Solanum lycopersicum: one gene and its partners. The main gene of each other region encodes a partner of the protein of the gene in region 7 in a complex. Links are inferred from orthologs where the notes say so. Each region holds a gene or a part of one and is shown on either strand. Other genes may lie near its edges. The genes, in order: large ribosomal subunit protein cL38; large ribosomal subunit protein bL31c; large ribosomal subunit protein uL5c; 50S ribosomal protein L27; large ribosomal subunit protein bL9c; 50S ribosomal protein L6, chloroplastic; large ribosomal subunit protein uL10c.

Region 1 (2,205 bases), about 60 Mb from region 7:
CTTTTGGTACACGATTCCAATTAAGTGAGCTTGGGGTCTTTTTTGTTTCCCGTCTTTGAATAATTGATAGATTCAAGAAAAGCTTTGAGGCCTTGGTAAATGTTGTCTGGAGGGCAAATAATTGGGTTTCATACTTTGTAAATATGCCATTTACAGTAGGAACATAAAATGTACATTGTTGGCTCGTCTAATCTACTGGATAGTTTGGTTTTGATCGGAATGGTTGTTGCGACATAGTTCAAAGGATTCCGATGTTGAATGAGCGAGTATATTGCCTTAATGCAAATACAAACATAGCTACTGTTTTCTCATTCATTGTTTTTAGTACGAGACCCCTCTCCCCGATCACATTTGATATTTGCTTTACATAATATATAATTTTGCTATTTTATTATACGGAACCGATATTCGAAGGATATTGTTTATTATCTCACAAGCTACGGCATTATCCAGTGGCATTGAATAGATTAAAAAGTAAAGCGTAAAACATTCATTTCAAATCACTTATTGCGCCAAAACTGCAATTGAACAAGTTGCAAATTTCCCCAAAGTATCAGACGGAAAACACCATTATACAAAAGCCGAAATGATAAGTTACAGAAAAATTACTCAGATTTGGCGTCGGACTCTGAAGCTCCGGCGGCAGCGGGTTGACCCGATTCATCACTGGCAAAGGACCACTCCGATGGTAAGGGAGGTAACGGAGCATAAACAGCTGGTCCACGTCGAATATCCCAAGCTTGAGTCTTCCGTGGACGTGTCTTCTTATGGTGAGCTGTAGCCTTCTTCTGTGGCCTAGATGAGCACTCAATTACCAATCCCCCGATACTTGTGGGTGCCGACGCCAACCTGGTGGCTCCGCCGGTGAATCCGGTCGCTGAAACAGTTGAGGAACGCGGCAACACCGCCATCTGCAACCCGAATATGGCGGAGGCTGACATTTTCTTTTTTCTTCTCTTCAAAGGTTTTTCCTTCTTCTGGCTGTGTTTAATGGAACCTTTGAAGTGGATTGCCTTCGTTATCTTCTGGTGACTTCAGTTTCTGCTAAGGTTACGACACCGTTTGGCATTTGGGCCTTAAAGCCCTTTTGGGTTATTTGAGTGTTGGATGTAGTAGAACAACAATTGGTCTGGCCCAAATAAATCTGTGGGATCATTTACACTTTTGCTTCTATTTAGTGTTGGTCTTTAATTTATGTATAGTTTATATTTTTGTATAATAATAACTTACCATTTATGTTCATATATTAAGTCTGAAAACTAAACGTAACTTCACAATCGATAGGAGCGATGGACGGTGTGTATAAAGGGCAGAGACGGAGAAATTCTTAGTTAGAGACCCAAAGGTCATTGTGATTAAAGAATAGTTTATGAAATTTTAGTACATAAGTGAATATAATTTAGAGTCAAAAGTACACGGCCTAATTGAGTTCAAATGAGTAATAATCTTATAAGATCATGGGACACAATTCCTCAACTTGTGTCTGTATGTTTGGTAATGTTTTCAACTAGTCATAATTATTTTAATCTTTCTCTGATATTATATGATTTAATATAAAAGTTATTGTATAATATATGGAGCATAGTAGTTGTATTTTGGACATAACTATGAGAAGTGAATGTTGACTATTAGTAGGTTACATGTTTAGAGGAAATGACTTTACTTCTAAAAGGTTAAATTGTTCCTTCAATTGGTGTCAAATCGTTTCATTTTCCTTCCTTTTTCGATGATATTGAAGTAAACTTCACTTGAATGGATACTTTTATTTTTTCATTACCATAATAACACTTTTTTGTTATTAGTTGCTTATTTAGGCACAACTTGAGTTCACGTGTACCTATTACTCTTTCCTTGCTATAATATATATGTGTAAAATCACCCCACTCCAGAAGGATTAATAGTGTTTTTTATCCATCAAACGTGAACTCAATCACTTGATGTTGAAGGCGACTCAATCAATTATTACATGACAATCAAACACCGTGAAAAAGATACTTGAAAATAAGTAGGTCATACAAAATACACCTGAGTATGATTCTTACACATAAAAGAACAAACATATACGTCTCTTTGCATCTACTGTTAGCCTTGTGAGTAATATTATAGGCCAGTCTATCCCATTTGTAGTCCGTGACCTTTATTGTTCCCCCACTTATATGAATCATCAAGATTAATGGATTGACCAACTTCATCTGCACTAATCAG
Region 2 (2,666 bases), about 63 Mb from region 7:
AAAAAATCTTTCTTAAGAACCTATGTGACTTGCTTTAAACCGGCACCTTCCCTTTTTTAGTATGAGAAGAGACCAGCCAGCTTGATAGACAACTCTCAAAAAGCATTTTACACAGTAAACTGCAAGAATGGAAGTGCACCACAGCACCAGTACAACTAACATTAGAACGCTTGGCTAATGCAACCATACAAAAGACAAGACACCAAATCTATAACAGACTTTATTTCATCTTTACTTTGTCAAGGATTCAAGGGACGGCTGAAACCCTGAAACAATCAGCCTTTCCAATCACAGGTATAACATTACACCAAGATAGTGCAAAACGGACAAGTTTCGTTCAGTTTATCAGGTAAAGGGGTGAAAGACAACTCATTTGAAACTATTGAACGTAAACTATGATCAATGAACTACACCTGATCCAAACTGTTTTAAGTTAACACAATTTTTTTGTATCCATTCAGCTCTATTAGGCTCATTACATTCCAATAGTCGAAGCAATAATGGCAATCGAAAGCAAGACAATTCACTGGATTCAACTTAAATGCTCTACCAGCCCAACTAATTGATGAACCATATAACAACAACAGCAAATCCAAAAATTTGAAGAACAAAGACTGAATTTTTATACTTCCATTTTCAAATAATAGACTGAGTTCACAACTGAAACCATCAAAATACAAACACAAAATACACAAAACCCCTAATTCTCCAACAATTTCCCCATTTACGAAACGAACTAAGGGAATTACAAACACACAATAAAGTCTACTTCTTCTTAGTAGGTTTCTTCTTCTTAGGAGGAAGCACAATCTCTCCTTTGAGAGTTGGAATTTGCATAATCTGTGTTAACCCACTAAACTTCTTCCTGAATTTCTCTACCTGGTCAGCATCAAGAAGTAGCTGTGAACGACTACCTTGATAAAAAGGATGATTACCTGACCAAACATCAACTGTGTACTCATTCTTTGTTCCCCCAGTTGTCATCACATGCTCTCCATTACAATATACCTTAGCGTCATCGTAGAATTGCGGATGTATATCCTTCTTCCTGCAGCTCCATCGCATTTGATTGCTCCCAATTCCCATCTGCAAAATTCAATTTTTCAACAATCATATACTTTTTAAAAAAAAAAAAAAAAAGTTATGGGTATGGAGATTTTGGGGAGTTACCTTCTTGGAGGAGAATGAAGGAGGAGCGACATTTTTTTGAAGGAAAGTGTTGGAGAGAGTGAGCGCCATTGTTGGTATTTTTGCAGAAGAAGAATGAGAGATGGAGAAAAAGAGGAACGGGTTGAAGATTAGATTGCTTATCTGAGGATATTGGGCTGTATATTTGATTGGGCTCTACTTGGGCTAGTTTTGTATGATGTTACTTTTGGGCTATTACTTGAAGCCCAAGGAGTAGGTAAGGCCCATTTATGTAAATACTCTTTCAAAAATGGATTAAACTCGTTAGGGTTGTTTGGGATTAGTTATTGATTCGTTATTACTAATTTGATTTCTTGCATAAGTATTGCATATTTTTTTAAGAAAAACTTGTTTGTTGTAAAAATATCATTTACCCTAGTAGAAAAAAGGTTTGACTAATCTCAAAAGTATTTTTATTATTTTATTTTTAAGTAATCGCTGTTTTTGGGTGGGCACATGGTAAAACTCCCGCTCCTATACGTTAGTTCGCAAATCACATAGGAGAAATAATCTGCATTAGGCAAATTCGGTGCGATGAGCTCAACCCAGAATTTACTTTCGCTGGCAAGTGATTTTGAACTTAAGACCTCTAACTTAAAAGTTCCAAGTCTTAACCATCTGGAGAAATAATGCTAATAAAATATTATCTGTAGATTATTTATATTTATACTCATATCACCCACCATGTATAGAGTGTCAATTACGACTTCTTGACCATTGAATTTAATACTATCGGTCTCTCCTCTCCGAGACGTGTAACACAAATTGGCCAATTTATAAATCAAATATCCTCCTTTTTCCTTTGTATCTAGAGTTTACCAAATAGTTTTTTGTTTTTTTTTTTACATATTATTGAAAGATTAATTCAACCAGGCATGATTGATAATAACTTAGTTCGATTATAATCTTTGATAAGAATAAAGTGTTTGAATAAACAGAAGTGATGTTGTGCTTACCGCCATAAGCAAATCCAAGTTATTTATCTTGTCCTACTTTCAATTTTTGTTATCCCACACGTTGTATTGATTCATTAATCTTTTTTTTTAAAAAAAAATAATTTCTTTACTATTATATTTCTTTTTTAATATGCTTTGAAATATCTTAATTTATCAAAAATAAACTCTTCAATTTCATAAAATAAAATCATATGAAATTACACTAGATACATCGATACAATCGATGTTTTTTTTAAGGCATAATAAATCACTACTAGAATACTTCCTCTGACATACAACATGTCGAGCAGTACATTACCAAAAAAAAAAAAAAAAAAACATTATCTAACTTCTTGCTAACTTAAATTAATTCATCTCTAACATAAATTAAATCTCTCTAATTCTCATGATTAATCCTTTAATTTCCTTGCTTTCTTCCACTTCTCTATATTCTTCAACCTTGCATACATTTTTCTAATCTTATTAAGCCTTTTAGATTGCTGAATAATAATATCAGAAACAGATGAACTTTCACTCAATATA
Region 3 (3,595 bases), on a different chromosome or scaffold from region 7:
CTTTTGAGTTTCTTTTTTCCTTTTTTAAGGGGCGGCAAACAACCAAAGAATAGGCTTAGATATCTATCTTGGAGTACCAGTATGGAGATCTAGCAAAATCAGAATGCAGCATTACAAGAACAGGTTAAAACCAAATCAAATGACATAGAACCTGAAACCACTAAAAAGCACATTCATACACACTTTGAAAGAAAAAACTCTGTACAATTTGAGCAGAATAAAATGAAGCCAAGGGAATAAAGATTCAGCAACATGGTATATACTATAAATAACTGTGACTTTCTAATATGCGAATATAAATAAACCTTAGAGGAAGAAAGGAGAAAGGTGGGGGATCAGGGAGTAGAAATAAGTATGGGACTCCACAGCCTCACACACATCAAGTGTTAAGCATTAGGACAAATTTAGAAAACGTAAATAAGATATCGCCCGCAAATACTCCTTATCACATACGATAAAAGATAAAAGCAGAGATGTTAACTCACCTAAATGTGAATATGGTGGAGCTAACAAGAGAAACTCTTTGCCTGAAATCAAAGTAAATGGCAGACGAGAAAAGGGAGCGGGTAGGAAATATTTAATAACATACAAATTACAGTAATCAAGATTCATGAATAGTAAAAACTTAACTAGAGATAAAAACAATTCTTATTTTTTTTTTTTTAGAGGAAGAAAACGTAAATAACATATATTCGAGACATCACCAGCCAGATGGTAAAAGTGCAATTACAGATTTTTCTATTCAAATTGTACGCCAAAAACAACTGATAAACCACAAAACAGTTAAAAAACAACAAATCAACTCATTATCCCTGGAGATTGGATCCACCTCATCTCCTAGACCTTTGCTTCGCCTTCGAGTCAAAATGGTGAGCTCTAAGCTTTTTCTTTTTCGTAAAAGTTGTCTGTCCACCAGAACCTTCTCTAAATGGCATACCCATGAGAGCCAACAATCTGTGTGCCTCTTTATCTGTCTCAGCTGTTGTTGTTATGCAAACATCCATCCCTCTTGGCTTACCAAGAGCATCATAACTTAACTCTGGGAAGACACTCTGTTCACGAAAGCCAATGCTATAATTTCCATGACCATCAAAGCTATTGGGGTTTACGCCTTGAAAGTCCCTCGTTCGAGGAAGCCCCAAATTAATTAACCGGTCAAGGAACGAATACATTACATTCCCTCGAAGTGTAACAGCAATTCCAAGCGGTTGACCTTCTCTAATTTTGAAAGTAGCAATAGCATTCTTAGCCCTAGTCTTCACAGGCCTTTGCCCTGTAATTAAGGCCAAATCATTCATTGCTGCATCCAAACCCTTGGAATTTTGTGCAGCATCTCCTATACCACAATTTACCACAATCTTTTCGACCTTCGGAACCTAAAACACGGTTTTTCCACATTCCGTATCAAATCAAATTAAAACTAAAAAATAATAATAGAGTTTGAAGCAATAGGTCAATGCAACTAATATTCACTGTGATTTCTCACTCCTCAAATGATAATAGTGTCAAACAAACTAATTTCTCAGCATTTCAACTCTAAAATTCAACATTTAATCAAACAAACAAGAAACAGTTCAAATTTGTAGATATAAGTTGTAAAATTTGAAGCTAAAGAAGTACATATGCTTTGAAATTGAAATTAACTTGAAAAGTATAATTGAAAATTGAATTTGTGTTTGAACCTGCACTAAGCTTTTTTAAAAACTGAAAAATTTGTTCAATTCCCCCATTTTCCCTTTCCCAAGCCCTAATTTTTATCTGTTCTGGAAAAAAAATGCAATGGACAAACGACTCCTAAGTTTACCTGAAGAATATTGGTGTAACTGAATTCTTCCTTCAACAACGGCACAATCTTTTCGAGGTAATTTGTTTTCAGACGATTAACTTTTTCAGCTTCACTTTTATCCACTAGTACTGTTGCTGAAGCTTTCACCGTCAATTTATTGGACGACCGGACCTTGGTATTTCCGACCGGCAATCGAACGGAGTACGCCGGAAACTCAGCATTGTAGAAAGAGGAGGCCGTGGAGTGTAGAAGAAGAGGAGAAGCCGCCATTTTCTCTGAGCTTTTTCTCTCTGTGTGTGAAAAATAAAAGGGTAATTGGATAAGATGTTCTTTGTGGATATAACAGAGTTCTCTCTACTAAATTTTAATTTGTGAATGTTTAAGTAAAAAAAATTCGGATCCATTTCGCCATAGATTTTTCAAGTAAAATTTTTTACGTGAACATCAAAATAATGATGTAATATTCAGTAAATAAGAAAATGACGATATGATTATTGATAAAAGTGACGAACAATATGTTTCGTCTACTTCATAATGTATGCAATGATGCTTGTTGCACTATCTCTGAATTACCATATTGCTTCAGTGACATGGACACTAATTGTTACGATAGTGAATCTTTTTATTCTATTTTGTTATGCAATACAAACTTATAGTTAGTTTTGATAACTTTTAAAACTTATTAGTATACATTTCTTAAAAAAAGTGAAATATGTTTCCAAAAATTAAGCCAAACATATGATGAAATTTATGGTTAAATGTTAGCTTAAGTTTTGGGCTAAAAATTATTGAATGAAGATCGTATCAAATCAGGAAAATTGTATATAATAGCAAACTGTTAATTTAAATTAAATGTTATAAATATACTTTGATTTAATTGTACCCTATAGCAAACTATTGCTATTTCCGCCACTCTCCCTGGTGGAATCTCGCTCGCCACTCTCGTTTTGTGACAGTCTCACTCACCTCTCTCGTTTTTTATACAAACACAATTGTATAAAATGTGTTTGCGTTTGTATAAAGTGAGAGAAAATTGTATAGATACATATAGTTTTGTTCACCTATCTCAAATCTCACTCACCACTCTCCCGAATCTCCCTCGCCTCTCTCGCTTATTCAAACAGAAACGAAATGTATAAATTGCATTTCTGTTTGTATAAAGCGAGAGAAAATTGTATATACACATGTAAATACATATATCTTCGTCCTATACACTTGTAATTATACAAAACAAATATTCTCCTGCTCAGTTTTCTTTTGTCTTTCTCTTTTTCTCGTTTTATACATACACAAATGGCAGATTATACAATTTATCTTTTGTATACAACTGCTTTCTTTTGTATATGTATAGTGAATTATACAACTGCTTTCTTTGTATATGTATATAGGGAATTATGCATATTTATATTTGTCACCGAGCGCAAGTATACAAACTTTGCTATATCATACAAATATAAATTTTGTATTTGTTATATATGAAATTTACTATATCAAATTTTATTGGCCCAACAAAAATTTTTACCAAGAAAATATTGGGGTCTATTAGACTGGAATGAGGTAGGCCCAAGTCTAAATTGGTTTGTGGGCTGGATAATTTTTTGAAAATTTAACGTCGTAGTGGCCCATTTCATTAAATAAACCTAATCTTTATTATTTAGCCAGTTTCTTCACTGGCATGTCTTTGTTTACATTTATAGCCTAATTTCGCTCATTTCTTCTATACTTGTATTTACTTAGATTATTTGAACTTCGTTTATAATTTATTTATTTTGGATGAGTTTACCTTGAATAAAGGTGAAAATAAAAGAA
Region 4 (4,309 bases), on a different chromosome or scaffold from region 7:
TTGGATTATTTTAGTTGTGATTTTACCAACTGAACACTTAAACCGAATGAAAACTCAAAACTCTTTTGGTTGTGCTATTGTGCAAAGCTGCATCTTCTGAATCATACATTTCATTCTGTACTCATACAAACTGTGACAAAGACTCATGCTTTCAGTAACACAATTTACAAACAAAAAAAGACAACAATGGCAGAAACACAGTTTAGAAAATGTGCCTGCAAATGTGTTCCCAAGTAGCTACTAGCAATAACCAAAACGACAACAGAATGTTTGAAAAATCGAAAGACCATTATCAGCAAGTGGTGATGGGATTATCTTCAGAGGATTCAGCAGCAGAAGCAACTATCAACTGAGGCTCAGGGATGACACCTTCTCTTCGTGCCTTTCTACGTTCACGTTGTAATCTGAAGGACTCTCTCTTTCGGTTTCTATAGCTGTTGGGGTTTTCAGGTTGCACCTCGCGTGGATAAACACTTATCTGCACAGTCAGTATACGTTAATAACACTCGTGTACCACATATCTACAAGCAGTAAGCTAAAGAACTCAACCTTTTTCCTGTCAGGTCCAAACTTTTCAAATTTGACTAGTCCATCAATCAAAGAAAATATTGTGTGATCTTTGCCAAGTCCAACATTCTTTCCTGGGTGGAACTGGAAATATCACCACGAGAACGATTAGGGAACAGAATATATGGCAATGCTAAACGGAGAATGCAACTTTTGAACTACTCTTAGAGCAAACAAACAGACGATAACAGGATCATATCAGAGCCGAAAAAAAGTAAAACTAATACCAACCTCTGGCATAAACCCTTTTACTATCTAACTGATAGAAGACGACATCTACTCATAGCATCATACTGTCAGAAACTGACACTTTCGGCAAAGAAAAAAAACTCAAGTCGGATTATAACAAATGTGCATTTCTTAAAGAGAACTTCCAACTATGTCTTCACGACACGAGCTCAAAACCTTAAACCTTATAGCAATCTGTTACTTCAAATGACAAGATATGTATCCCTCTAGTACCTTGTTTTGTACTCAATCTAACGCCCTCTAGACAATCCACATATTTCTAACAAATAATATACAAACCAAACGAAGAAAGCCAGACGAATGGAGCAGAGTTATTGACAAGATGCCAGGACCTAGTATGTTTGTGAGGTATTGAGCAAAAAAACTGGAATTACACTCTACTTGGGTGGGTTCATCCGAATTCATTTCAAGCACTATTAATTAATCAAAAGAACTATCAGAACTTCCACAGCAAATACGAGTTTTAGGCAAAAATAAAAAAGAGAGAGGAGATCCAGAAGAAGTAAAATTGAAACCTTTGTACCGCGCTGGCGAACGATTATAGAACCGGGCTTGGCGACTTGGTCACCATAAATCTTGACACCAAGCCTCTGTCCAGGAGAATCTCGACCATTCTTAGTGCTACCAGCTCCTTTCTTGTGTGCAGACTCAATTGTCAATGGAGATTTCAACGGGAAGGAAACGGAGAACTTAGGGGCAATGGGAAGAGAAACCCCAAGGAGAGAATTGGAAGATAAGGAGAGTCCTTTGAATGAGGAAACAAGACTCAAACTCACTGCCATTTATACGCTGCAAAGAAAACAAAGAAATTCAGTAGCCTCTCGTGGTACTTACTATCAGAGATGAGAGGCCTAAAGGAAAGGAAGTGATATTTAACAATGGGAAAAATATGAGCATAGAACTACTAAGAGGACAAAACTATTACCATAACAACTACCAAGGATCTTAATCGCCAATCTAAAATTTCCCCGGATCATCGCGAACACAAATTGGAGAAATATATTTTTGATAGTAAGTCTACAGAAGGTTTGACTCTGACTTTAACACTGCTCGGTATGACTAAAACAGTAGAAGAGTGATAAAAATGGTCCTAAACATATTTCCTAAGAAAAAAAGTTTTCCATCAAAAGGGGGAAATAACTACTCTCACTTATGAGATAAGTCATTTCCTTTTACTACGATTTCAGCTCTTTCTCCTTATCGCTCGCTCCAACCACTGTTTAGATAATATTGTCATTTCTTAATACTCAGCTTTATCAAAATATAAAACCAATTTGCTGAGCTTATTATCAATCTTCAAAAAAAATACAAAACACACACTCCTAACAATAGAAGTACCTTAAGTCCTCATTACAACTATCTTTACTCCATTATATATCTCTTGCATTTCAATACACATTACTTCCACTCATTGTTTTTCTTTTCAAAATTACACCAAACATCAACCCCCCTCCACCACAAACGCATTTCGCAAACTCTACACCACAAAATATTCCGCAAATAAGTCCTTACGCAAGCAATTGGTCATAAAAGAACCATATTTAATCATAAAGGACAAGTCTTTAAACCACAAAACAAAGAGGAATCAAAGGAAACCAGTATCAACAACAAAATAAACACTAGTATGTTCATCAAGATTGCAGTCCACCTAAAATATTAGTAGCGGTCAATAAAGTAGATTGATAACCATAACGTCTCAAGTTCAAATCCTAGTGAAGCATAAATACTAACCCCCTCCATTTCAATTTCCAATAGCAACTCTTCAATTCTAACTTTTCACATTAAACAACATTTTGATACATTCGACATAACATTAGTTTTACTTCAACCCCACTTGATTAAAAAAAAATCTTTACTTTCTTATATTATTTGCCAAAGTCGAACCACACAAACAAATTGAAATGGAGAGAATAGTAAACCAAGATTTGCGAGTCAGCTAAAATTAAATACATTTTCGAACACCCAATTAAACATAGTACAAGAAAAAAACATTGAATTTACAGAAGAGGGGAAAAGAGATGAACTCACCGAGGGGATTATGGAGCCACAATGGCAAAATCTTCGAGATAAAAAGATAAGAGAAATGTCAGCCATCCTTTTTATAATATACTTGACCCGTTTTGAATTGGGCTTTTTTTAGCTTGTTTTCGGGTTAAGTTTAATGGTTTCGTTTATCGAACATAAGTTATGGACATAAATTAATTTTGCTTATAAATATTGAAGTTGTAAATATTTTTATCGAACTTGTAAAGGGGAATAATATGATTTTAATTAGTAAAATAAAATGTTTTTTCAGATATCTTTTCTTCGAAACTAAAATCCAAGTGATTGTTTTTATATTTTTGAAAACGTTTTTTAATCTCAAATTGATATTCTGCGAAAAGTATTTTCAAAAAATGAAATCATATTTAAAAATTTTTAATTTAATTTTTATCGAGAAAATTTCATACTCCTACTTACGGGCATATATAATATGATTTTTCGATAAAAAGTATAAGAATAATTTTTTTTTGCATACCTCCATACAAGTACGGTTAAGAATGTCAAAATGAGCCTAAATATATATAACTCGTCTAACTCATTTAAAATTTTATAGGCGGGAGCTCTAGATATTTTGAATTGGATCAATCTCAACTTATTTACGTTTTAGCCCATTTTAAAATAATTTTTAATTGTGTCCAATGTAATCTCTAATTTCAACATGTTTTAAGAGTATTTTTTGTATTGGTGTAATTTATGTTCTCATATTGAATGCATAAATTAGAATCTATTTTATATTTTTTATGATTTATATATCAATTTTATAACTGTTTTTATTGAATTAAAATTCAAATAATAGTTATTAAAGGAAAATAACAATATGTTTAAATTATTGAGATTAAACATGTCAAATCGCACAGGTCATGATCCAATCCAATGTTTATCCTATTTGAGCCTAACATAATTTGAAGAGGTTATGATTCGACTTAAATTTTATTTGAACTCATTTTAATATTTTAAATTTTAATTCAACCCGATTATTTAACACGCCGACCTACAATAATGCCACATTATTCTTGAAAATTGCTCATATTATGCTTCTTGAACTAGTTAGTGGAATTGATTGCTCGAGTCAAAAGTTGTGTTGGTAAATTAAAGGATTTAAAAGAAGAATATTTAAAGTAAAATAGATTGTTTAATTTATTTACTTTTATAGGACAAGAACAAGTGGAGAATATAAATGCCATGAACCTAATTCTTTCAAAGAATAAATATATTTATTGGTTAAAAAATAATATTAGGTGAACATTTTAAATATATCTAAATTTCAATATATAAAATTAATACAATAAAATAATTAAATCCAACATCATGCTATATAATCTATATGTGCAAATACATCAATGGTTTTAACATGTAATAGTAAAATACCGATAAAGATTGTGATGGAAAATTAAAATAATTCAGAATTTCACCATTTTTAGTTAGAGATTGCAAATACAATCCTTTGTGA
Region 5 (4,086 bases), on a different chromosome or scaffold from region 7:
ATGTGATCAAGAAACAGACATCACATTGCTTCAAAAAAACAGTTTTTGCTCTAGCAATAGACGGAAAATGGAATCAGTATACTCCACTGTTCTCGATGACTGATGTTAACGAGTAAGTAACATCGCACAGAAGGAATCACACAAGAAAATAAGCACTGCATGAAAAATATTTGAATTACTTAATAAACCAGATGAATCAGAGAACATCAGTTTTCAAGTTCATGCAAATTCATATTACAGGATCAACCTTATGAAGGACAATATACTTTAACAGTCTTCAATGAACATATAGTAGTAATTAGTTCGCATACTACTATTTACATGCTATGGCAGAAAGATTGGAAAATGGTACCTCTGTATCTGTGCTTTTATAATATCAACGAGATCCTGAGCAGTGACACTGCAAGAGAGATGACGTCAAAAGGTAGATCAAATATTCACCAAGTTGCTCATCACAATTTAGTATTTCACTGACCTTCCAAATATTTGCTTTCCTTTCCCACCCTTACGCTTCACCTTGAAGGCTCCAATAGTTTCAAAAATTCGAGCAAGCTGTTGTGCCTCATCTTTCACCTGAAATCAAAAACGTTTAACTAAAACCACATTCATTATGAAACTCTTTTAGACTTTTAGTGACTTGAAAATAAAAAAAAAATGTATATATTTTTCAACTTTCAATAGATTAGATTAATCAGAATAATCTAATTACCCGTTGTTTTTCAGCCTCAATTTTCTCGTCTTCCATCTTCATTTCCCTGAGTAAAAAGTACATAATGTTATAAAATAAAAATGCATCCATGAAGTTAGTTAATTCTCACTGATGGCGAAGCACGCTAATAGCTATCAAAAATATCAAACCAAAATTGCTTCTAACAACCATCTCTAACGAAGCCTTCACCTATTTGTTTTGTTCTTTAGTATGAAATAGCAAATCCCTTATATATAAGACTTTTACAGGACTATCACACCATTAATGTTAACAGCTGGTTAGGCCTATTGCTCACCCAAAAGCTAAAGACAAAGTCACTAAGTAGTAGGAAATCTAAAGTTTTATATCCAACCATTATCCATCTTATGCATTGTGGGACATTGTATTGAAGACGAATCCGTTATCAATAAATTATATTTGGTTAAAAGAAGCGAATTTACTTAAACCTATAATCATTAATCATACGAAGCACTATTTCAGGGAACAAAAGCCATACAGAGTTTGTGTACTGACCAAGAGTTATAACACCAAAGCCATACAGAGTTTCTGCTCAAGGAGTATCGAAAATGATTATTCTGGTACGACCTTTGCACGAAGATATGTATAATCCATGGGTCCGTCCACTTTTCAGCTAGTTACAATTAGTTTAAAGGATCCCATAGACTAAGTATACCTATTTTATCTCCATTCGACATAGGTCCATTGGTTTAGATAAAAGATAAAACAAAACAAGCAATAGTAATAACATACTTCCACTCATCAACAGCCAAGCAAAGTATTGTGTGTGGCATTTTAAATAGTTGAACCAAAGAATCCTGACATTAATTATGAGGCATGAAAATAAGATAACGAACAGAAGAACCAAAGTCTTGAGTTCAATAATAAGGTTAAGTCGATAATTTAACTAGTCATAATGCAGAAACAGACACTTGAACTCGGCATCAACTAGCAAGAAAACACTCAAACTCGGCATCAACTAGCAAGAAAACACTCCAACTTTGAGTATGCACATCTACACCTCAACTCATCTCCACTGTGTCAGTTGAACACTCCAACTTACAAAATGATCATCTAGGCACCAACCAAATATATTTGCCACATCAACATCAGGTGTCCATGACACACTGTGGATTATGCCGTTAAACTATACAGGGTGATTGGAAATGTGAATATTCAACACTTAAAATCAACTAACAGTCTCCAAAAGGAATACTTAAAAATCCATCCAACACAAGCAGAACCAATTTTAACAAACATTAAGGGGGTGTTTTGTAGCTAGTAAAAAAGCAACTTACTCATATATTAACTTAATGTATAAGTAATACAATGTTTGGCAGTTAGTTAGAGAATAAGTTATTCATGTATAAAATCAACACAAAGTTTAATTTGTAATTCAAAAACCTACCTAACTAATATATAATGTATTATCTTATGCAGGTTACAAGACGAAATAACTGATACCTGCGTAACTCTACCAAGCTACCAAACAACCGCGAACTCCACAAAAGTACAGCTAATGAAAGAAGAACCTAAAAGGCAATGAAATCAAATGGCAAAAATCTAGTTCAAAGTAGAGTTAAACGAGTTACTTGATAAGTGCAGCTGTCACAATTTGAGCTTTGCCCAATGGTAGCAAATAATTCCTAAAGAATCCAGCTTTAACATCCAAAAGGTCTCCCTTTTTACCCAACTGTGAAATATCCTCTTTCAGTATTATCTGTTCCATCAAAACAAAAAATACCCAATTCAGCTATTAACCATAAATGGACAAAAAATGAGATTTTGACAATTATAAATCCAACCCATTATCACATTTTCAAGAATTAGCTCACCTTTCGAACTTTCTTGGCTTTTTTCTGAGCAACAATTGTTAAAATTGAAGTTCTTTCTGAAAATTTCACTGTTTCGGAAAATGGGTTTTTGGTTAAGCTGTAATTTTGGAGACAAGAAGATGAACCCCATGACGCCATAGCTAAGTCTTCCTTCTTCTTTTCTTCACTTTTTGCTCCGTTTTTCTGTATTTTTTACAGTTTATAGCGTTATCTTATCTGTAATGGCGAACTGAAGAAGATAATGGATGTCTTAATGGGCCAACAAAACTTATTGGGACAATTCATGTAAAGCCCATTTCTTAGTCCAATTATAATATTTTAGGCTATTTGGGCGAAGGACAGAAATCACATACTTTTAAGGCAAAATTACCATTTGTTTTTTACAAGTATATAATTACAAAAATTTCTCAAATGATACAATAATATATTATTGTATCATTTGATACATTAATCTGATGTGTGAGATACATTAATCATTAAGTACGATACATTACATTTATACATAATACACTAATCTGATGTACACTTTATACAAGATACATTAATCTGATGCGCGATATACATTAATCTGATGCGTGATATATATTAATTTGATGTGCGAGATACATTAATTTGATGTGCTGATACGTTAATTTGATGTGTGAAAATGAGGGATTTTGGAGATTTGTAAAACTAATAGGGGATAATAATAGTAAGAGAACTTAAAAGTGAGATTTCTATCATTTACCCTTACTGAAATACACGTCTTATATTTTCCTTATTTTCATATATCCCCTTTTATTTCTAAAGACCTCTAAAATCCATTATTTCTTTAATGTATCCGAGCTACATATTAATGTATCCGAGCTAGTATTTAATGTATCCGAGTTACATATTATGTATGCGATTTATTTTATAATGTACCCGATCTAGTTTTTAATGTATCTGAACTACATATTATGCATCCGATTTATGCTATAATGCATCTAAGATACTCTTTAATGTATTCGAGTTACATATAAATGTATCCGATTTGTGTTACTTTTTAAGGGATTAATGAAATTACAAACTAAAGAGGGATGAATTATAATTTCATATTAAAATTATGTGATTTCTAAAATTTATCCAAAAAAAACAGCCCAACATAATACTCCATCCGTCTCAATTCATGTGGTGTTGCTTGACTAAGTAGTGGACATTGGACACGAAGTTTAAAAAATATGAAAATACTTTGTATATCTCAAAACTATCCTTAGAAAGAACACAACTTTGTAGACGTTTTGTCGAATAAGTGGGATCCAGTCATCTACAAAATATTGACAGTGTCATTAACTATTTATCAAATAAAGAAATGTATCGTTCTTTTAGAATTGACTAAAAAAAAGTTTGTCATCTAAATCCGGAGGGAGAGTATTTTACATTCACTTAGCCATATTTTTTTCATCAAAGTCATACTTGTAAAAGCGTACTCTTTCTGTCTCTCATACATTATTGTTTTGTATTTACACATATAAATAAGGGCAACTTTCACATATGGCAAATAAAAAATTCATATTTATATGCTAT
Region 6 (2,175 bases), on a different chromosome or scaffold from region 7:
GAATCACTTGATCTGTGTGAAATTAAAATTAAATATTACTGAATTATTTTCAACTTTGACTTAACTATTTTATTAATTATTTTTAATGCTATGTTGAATTGTGTAATGATGCATTCTAAATACCTTTGAATCAAATGATCATGTGCATTAAATGTATATTTCCCTGCTTTGACTATAATTACTGCTTTCTCATATATAGTTTGGTTCATTGAAAGTGTTTGAAATTAAAATAAATGGTCAAAAATACATTTAAAATATATATTTTTGGAGAGTAATTATTATCAATTATTTATCAAAATAGTCAATTATTTAGACTAAATGTTTGAATACATTCACATTCATTTGTATTAAGTTCCGTTGTTTCGAGTATTGTTATCAAAAGAATTATATTTGAGATTAAATTTGTATTGTTACTTATTCATGTGTGGAATTTATACAACGTATTTTCAATATTAAAGGAAAAGGTTACAATTTAATTTATTGAAAGATAAATGTTCAATTATAATTTATCGATTTAGAAAACGATTGCGTTCTTGCTAAAACTATGTTCATTTTTCATGAATTTGTAAATATTTTATTGAATGCAACCACCTCCATGAACACAACGACATACTTTGTTTTTTAATGTGATAGACCCTCAGCTCAAGAAAATCGTTTAATTTTTTCAGAACAGCTTTAAAAGAAATGTAAGGGAAACCAGATTACATACAATATTCAAATTGTGTGACTCTTATATTTAAAGGGATCCACAAGATAAAAAATTTGTCAAGTCACTTGCAAAATGAACCTAACTTCAAAATAGCTCTAAGAAAAATACAATAAAACAATGACAAAATGTACCATGATTTACTTCTTCTTGCCTGCTTTACCTTCTTTCCTTCTAACTATTTCATCAGCATATTTCACTCCTTTACCTTTGTATGGCTCTGGAGGTCTCCATTTTCTAATTGAAGCTGCAAATTGACCGATCTCTGACTTATCGTAACCACTTACAGTGATTCTGGTGTTTTCTTCAACCTTAACTTGCAGTCCAGCAGGAACTTCCATCCTAACGGGATGAGAAAATCCGAGATTGAGAACTATGTCTTTCCCTTCGATGGTTGCACGATATCCAACCCCTACCAATTGAAGTTTCTTCTCGAATCCTTTGGAAACGCCGACTACCATGTTATCAGTTAGAGTCCTGCCGAGTTTGATGAAGAAAAAGAACATCTTCAGAGTAAACACTCAAAATATGTGCATCTATACATTGTCACTAGAATTGACCAACATAACAACAGTGATAAGATTATGAAAAATTTTATATACAGTCCGTAGGTATTGGCAGAATGTTTGATAGAGTTGGTGTAAGACACATATTATGGCTTTTGAAGTTGAGAGGAAATCATTTGGGGTGCAGAATCATACCTTTATCACAAAATTCTGTGAAACTGATGATCATCATCATCAGAGACGAGAGTCGTGTAAATGAAAATTCCAAGTTGAAAATCACGTCTAATTGTTGAAATCATGGATATTCTTCTAGCTTAAGGCGTGTGTATGACACTTTCTGTAAGGATATTCAATCATATAAACGTATCTCCTAGGATTCAACAAGCTCATCTAGTATAAACTAGCATCAAAAACCTTATGATTTATGGTTATTATACCTAAACTAGTTCTTTATTAAAGCTCCTAAAACTCTACAACGACTAGTTAACGGCTAGTTTGACCATTTAAAGTAAGGGCAAAACAATAAACTATAAGTGGATAAAAACAAGGGACACTTCCTTATGAGATACTTCCAAATTTCCAACAATCCCACGCACATCTCAAAAAGAATATCTATAAAATGAAGAAAGAAAACATATTTTGATAGTTTGCTGGGTTTTGAGTATAATGGATCCATTTGGTATCTTTTGGATTACGAACCAAATACAGATGCTAAGATTTGACTTACAGAATAATTGGCAAAGTTGATAACTTTTACGAACTAAAAATTCTAGTTGTAAGCTAAGTTTCTTATTCATCACATTATACTCCCACAATTTCTATTGTTTATTGCAGTTTTGCGCTAATGCATAATAGACAACTGGCTTGCCTGGTTATTCGAGAGTGCTTTAGAATTTTGCCGTAATTTCAAAAGAGCAGATACACATGAATAAGATTAAGAGTTTTACTCAACCTCACTACTGT
Region 7 (2,707 bases):
ATTTCTCAAAAAGTAATTATAGATTATTTTTTTTGTTCATTACCGATTATTAATACTTATCTCAAATAAAAATCATAAATCATTGAAAGATTTACTTTTGCTTATTTTATTAATAATTAAACTAAAAATTGAATATACATGTGATTATGCCCCTTAAAACTATGAGACTTACGTCTTGTGTCTCAGGACATACGCCTCACCATATACTATGTAAAAGATTTCACCTCACGCTCTGTCTTTACTATACAGATACAATCTATTCAAATATTATATTTATTAAAATAATATAATATAATATAATTGAAGCAAAGTCTAGGACCTGAGCAGAGAAAATAACAAAAATATCACTTGTGATTTTGATTACATTCAGAAATAATTTTTGAATATTCTTGACTCTTTAAATTTATTTTAAGCCAGCATTTTTAATTGATAAACTTGTAGATACAGATATACATACTTGAAAAAGGATTGACGAGGTGTAGAAGGAATAATATTGAATATGGTGAATTTTAGTAGTAAATAATTTAATTATTATTAATATTTGTATGAGTTATATTTGATAGGAGTATTATTTTATATTTAATATTTGATTTGACGTAAAGAAAATAATCTGTATTACATCAATTTTGAACAAAATTCTTTATTTATATAAGTATCTTTCACAAATATAGTAAAATGATGTTAAAAGAGTTTTGAAGAGCAATAGTGATTTTATTATGCTAATGCATGAATATTTTTTTTTACTAATATCCACATAATTCCATATCTTATATACACCTTAATGCCAAATACATCATATAATATTTGCATTGATTATACTTAATGCGACTCTACTATGAAATTCAAACAAAATTAATAAAATATTTTAATATAGAAGAAAAATTGATATGATTATTATATTATTTTTTTAAAAAAAAATTAATAAAGCATCTGAAAATAATGATAATATATATTTAAAATAACTGATCGAATCATAATTAATATCTTTAAATATAAGATAAAATAATTTTACATTTTATGAAATTATTATCTTTTATATATCATATCAAATCATCTCAAGAATTTTGTTAATAATAATAATAAAAATATATCTAACATAATTTTATAAATTAAAGACGATAAAATATATGTAAATATTACACCTATTTTGCCTTTTTTAACTTCTTTAATGGTTTGTTTGGTATGACATAAATATTTTCAAAAACATAAAGTTTATGAAATACCCCTAAATTCTATCTTAGCACAAAAGATAAGGCAATCCAATTCTCAAGCTATCATCAATGGAGGCTGCTCTCTTCAGCTTACCTTCCTCTTCCTCTCACTCTTACCCATTTTCCGTGAAATCCCACTTCAACAATCCCTTCATAATCCCCCATTCCAGTTCTCACCTCAAACTCAAACCCAGAACTCTAACTATTCGTTCAGCCATTAGCAGAACCAAGAAAGAAGAAACAGTCGAAACAGTGAAGCAACAGCTTGAAGATTGTTATCTCTTAGCTGGAATCAGTTACAAGGGGTTAACAGTTAAGCAATTTCAAGATCTTAGGGCTCAACTCCCAGAAACAACAAAGCTTCTTGTTGCTAAGAACACATTGGTACTTAAAGCAATTGAAGGGACAAAATGGGAAGCATTGAAACCATGTATGAAGGGAATGAATGCTTGGTTATTTGTTCATAGTGAAGAAATCCCAGCTGCTTTGAAACCTTATAGGACTTTTCTAAGGGAGAAGAAATTGGAAGATAATGATTTTACTGGTGGGGTTTTTGAAGGGAAGTTTTATGGGCCTGATGAGTTTAAGGTGCTTGAGAATTTGCCTACAAGAGCTGAGATTTATTCACAGCTTCTTGGGTCTTTGAAAGGACCTGCTTCAGCTGTTGTTGGGACTATTCAAGCTCCAGCAAGGAATTTGGTTATGGTTCTTAAGGCTTATGTAAAGAAATTGGAGGAGGAAGAAGGTGGAAGTCAATAATTTTTGTTGTAATTCTTGGATATGGTAAGCTAATACTATTGTCTATTTGGATCAATATTTGAAATTTTTCTGAGAGATGGAATTTTGTAAATTTTATGTTTTTGGTAGAATGAATTTATCCTTGGCCAATTGTTCTAAATTTGTGTCCTCGTATTTGGCGGATAATTATCTGGATTACTTCATAACTGTTTGAGAGGATTTATGTTATGTGAAATGTACTATTCTGCTCTTTCCATTATCACTGAACCAAGAAAATAGTCTGTATTCCTGCTTCAGCTCACTATATTTGTCAAATATTAAAAGGGCAGCTCGGTGCACTAAGATCTTGCTATTTGCTGAGTTTGGGCTTTGGTAGTAGTCTGGAGGAAGTGTGTAGCTTTATTCTTGCAGTTTCTTGCTATTGTTATATGTTGATCGCACTATATTGTTGACGTTATTGTTTCTTGCATGTATCCTCTGCAGTGCTTTCCTATTACTAGTTCTCATGTTTTCCTTATTGTCGTTTTCCCTTTTTGTTAGTACTTTCATTTACTTCACTTGAACTGAGGGTCTTTTGGAAACAACCTTTGTACCTCCACTAGGTAGAGGTAGGGTTTGCGTACACTCTACCTTCCCCAGACTCCACTTTTTGGGATTTCTCTGGGTGTGTTGTTGTTGTTGGGAAATGCCGGACCACGTTGCATCTATTGTTAGCTACTTTAGTTTGCATTTCTGCAAAAGGTTGTTTCTGTGCTTAA

Evidence for each region.
Region 1: large ribosomal subunit protein uL10c (region 7) and large ribosomal subunit protein cL38 share a complex: the UniProt entries of both Arabidopsis thaliana proteins name them as parts of the 50S ribosomal subunit. The link is inferred for Solanum lycopersicum from reciprocal best matches to the Arabidopsis thaliana genes EMB3136 and PSRP6.
Region 2: large ribosomal subunit protein uL10c (region 7) and large ribosomal subunit protein bL31c share a complex: the UniProt entries of both Arabidopsis thaliana proteins name them as parts of the 50S ribosomal subunit. The link is inferred for Solanum lycopersicum from reciprocal best matches to the Arabidopsis thaliana genes EMB3136 and emb2184.
Region 3: large ribosomal subunit protein uL10c (region 7) and large ribosomal subunit protein uL5c share a complex: the UniProt entries of both Arabidopsis thaliana proteins name them as parts of the 50S ribosomal subunit. The link is inferred for Solanum lycopersicum from reciprocal best matches to the Arabidopsis thaliana genes EMB3136 and AT4G01310.
Region 4: large ribosomal subunit protein uL10c (region 7) and 50S ribosomal protein L27 share a complex: the UniProt entries of both Arabidopsis thaliana proteins name them as parts of the 50S ribosomal subunit. The link is inferred for Solanum lycopersicum from reciprocal best matches to the Arabidopsis thaliana genes EMB3136 and RPL27.
Region 5: large ribosomal subunit protein uL10c (region 7) and large ribosomal subunit protein bL9c share a complex: the UniProt entries of both Arabidopsis thaliana proteins name them as parts of the 50S ribosomal subunit. The link is inferred for Solanum lycopersicum from reciprocal best matches to the Arabidopsis thaliana genes EMB3136 and RPL9.
Region 6: large ribosomal subunit protein uL10c (region 7) and 50S ribosomal protein L6, chloroplastic share a complex: the UniProt entries of both Arabidopsis thaliana proteins name them as parts of the 50S ribosomal subunit. The link is inferred for Solanum lycopersicum from reciprocal best matches to the Arabidopsis thaliana genes EMB3136 and emb2394.

What each region holds. Positions count from the first base shown.
Region 1 is NC_090803.1:63,903,505-63,905,709, forward strand, and holds large ribosomal subunit protein cL38, read right to left. Parts: upstream 942-2,205; coding exon 606-941; downstream 1-605.
Region 2 is NC_090803.1:66,609,377-66,612,042, reverse strand, and holds large ribosomal subunit protein bL31c, read right to left. Parts: upstream 1,390-2,666; 5' UTR 1,240-1,389; coding exon 1,171-1,239; intron 1,087-1,170; coding exon 766-1,086; 3' UTR 600-765; downstream 1-599. Other genes in the region: mannan endo-1,4-beta-mannosidase 7-like, read right to left, coding at 2,534-2,666. UniProt on the Arabidopsis thaliana protein: Binds the 23S rRNA.
Region 3 is NC_090808.1:1,642,723-1,646,317, reverse strand, and holds large ribosomal subunit protein uL5c, read right to left. Parts: upstream 2,226-3,595; 5' UTR 2,057-2,225; coding exon 1,805-2,056; intron 1,377-1,804; coding exon 831-1,376; 3' UTR 631-830; downstream 1-630. UniProt on the Arabidopsis thaliana protein: Binds 5S rRNA, forms part of the central protuberance of the 50S subunit.
Region 4 is NC_090810.1:58,850,324-58,854,632, forward strand, and holds 50S ribosomal protein L27, read right to left. Parts: upstream 2,892-4,309; 5' UTR 2,845-2,891; intron 1,606-2,844; 5' UTR 1,599-1,605; coding exon 1,332-1,598; intron 652-1,331; coding exon 550-651; intron 479-549; coding exon 293-478; 3' UTR 70-292; downstream 1-69.
Region 5 is NC_090810.1:57,591,506-57,595,591, forward strand, and holds the start of large ribosomal subunit protein bL9c, read right to left. Parts: upstream 2,825-4,086; 5' UTR 2,680-2,824; coding exon 2,542-2,679; intron 2,427-2,541; coding exon 2,299-2,426; intron 756-2,298; coding exon 710-755; intron 574-709; coding exon 476-573; intron 401-475; coding exon 353-400; intron 1-352. UniProt on the Arabidopsis thaliana protein: Binds to the 23S rRNA.
Region 6 is NC_090811.1:69,213,313-69,215,487, reverse strand, and holds the end of 50S ribosomal protein L6, chloroplastic, read right to left. Parts: intron 1,184-2,175; coding exon 847-1,183; 3' UTR 643-846; downstream 1-642. UniProt on the Arabidopsis thaliana protein: This protein binds directly to 23S ribosomal RNA and is located at the aminoacyl-tRNA binding site of the peptidyltransferase center.
Region 7 is NC_090803.1:3,526,221-3,528,927, forward strand, and holds large ribosomal subunit protein uL10c, read left to right. Parts: upstream 1-1,176; 5' UTR 1,177-1,280; coding exon 1,281-1,970; 3' UTR 1,971-2,109; downstream 2,110-2,707. UniProt on the Arabidopsis thaliana protein: This protein binds directly to 23S ribosomal RNA.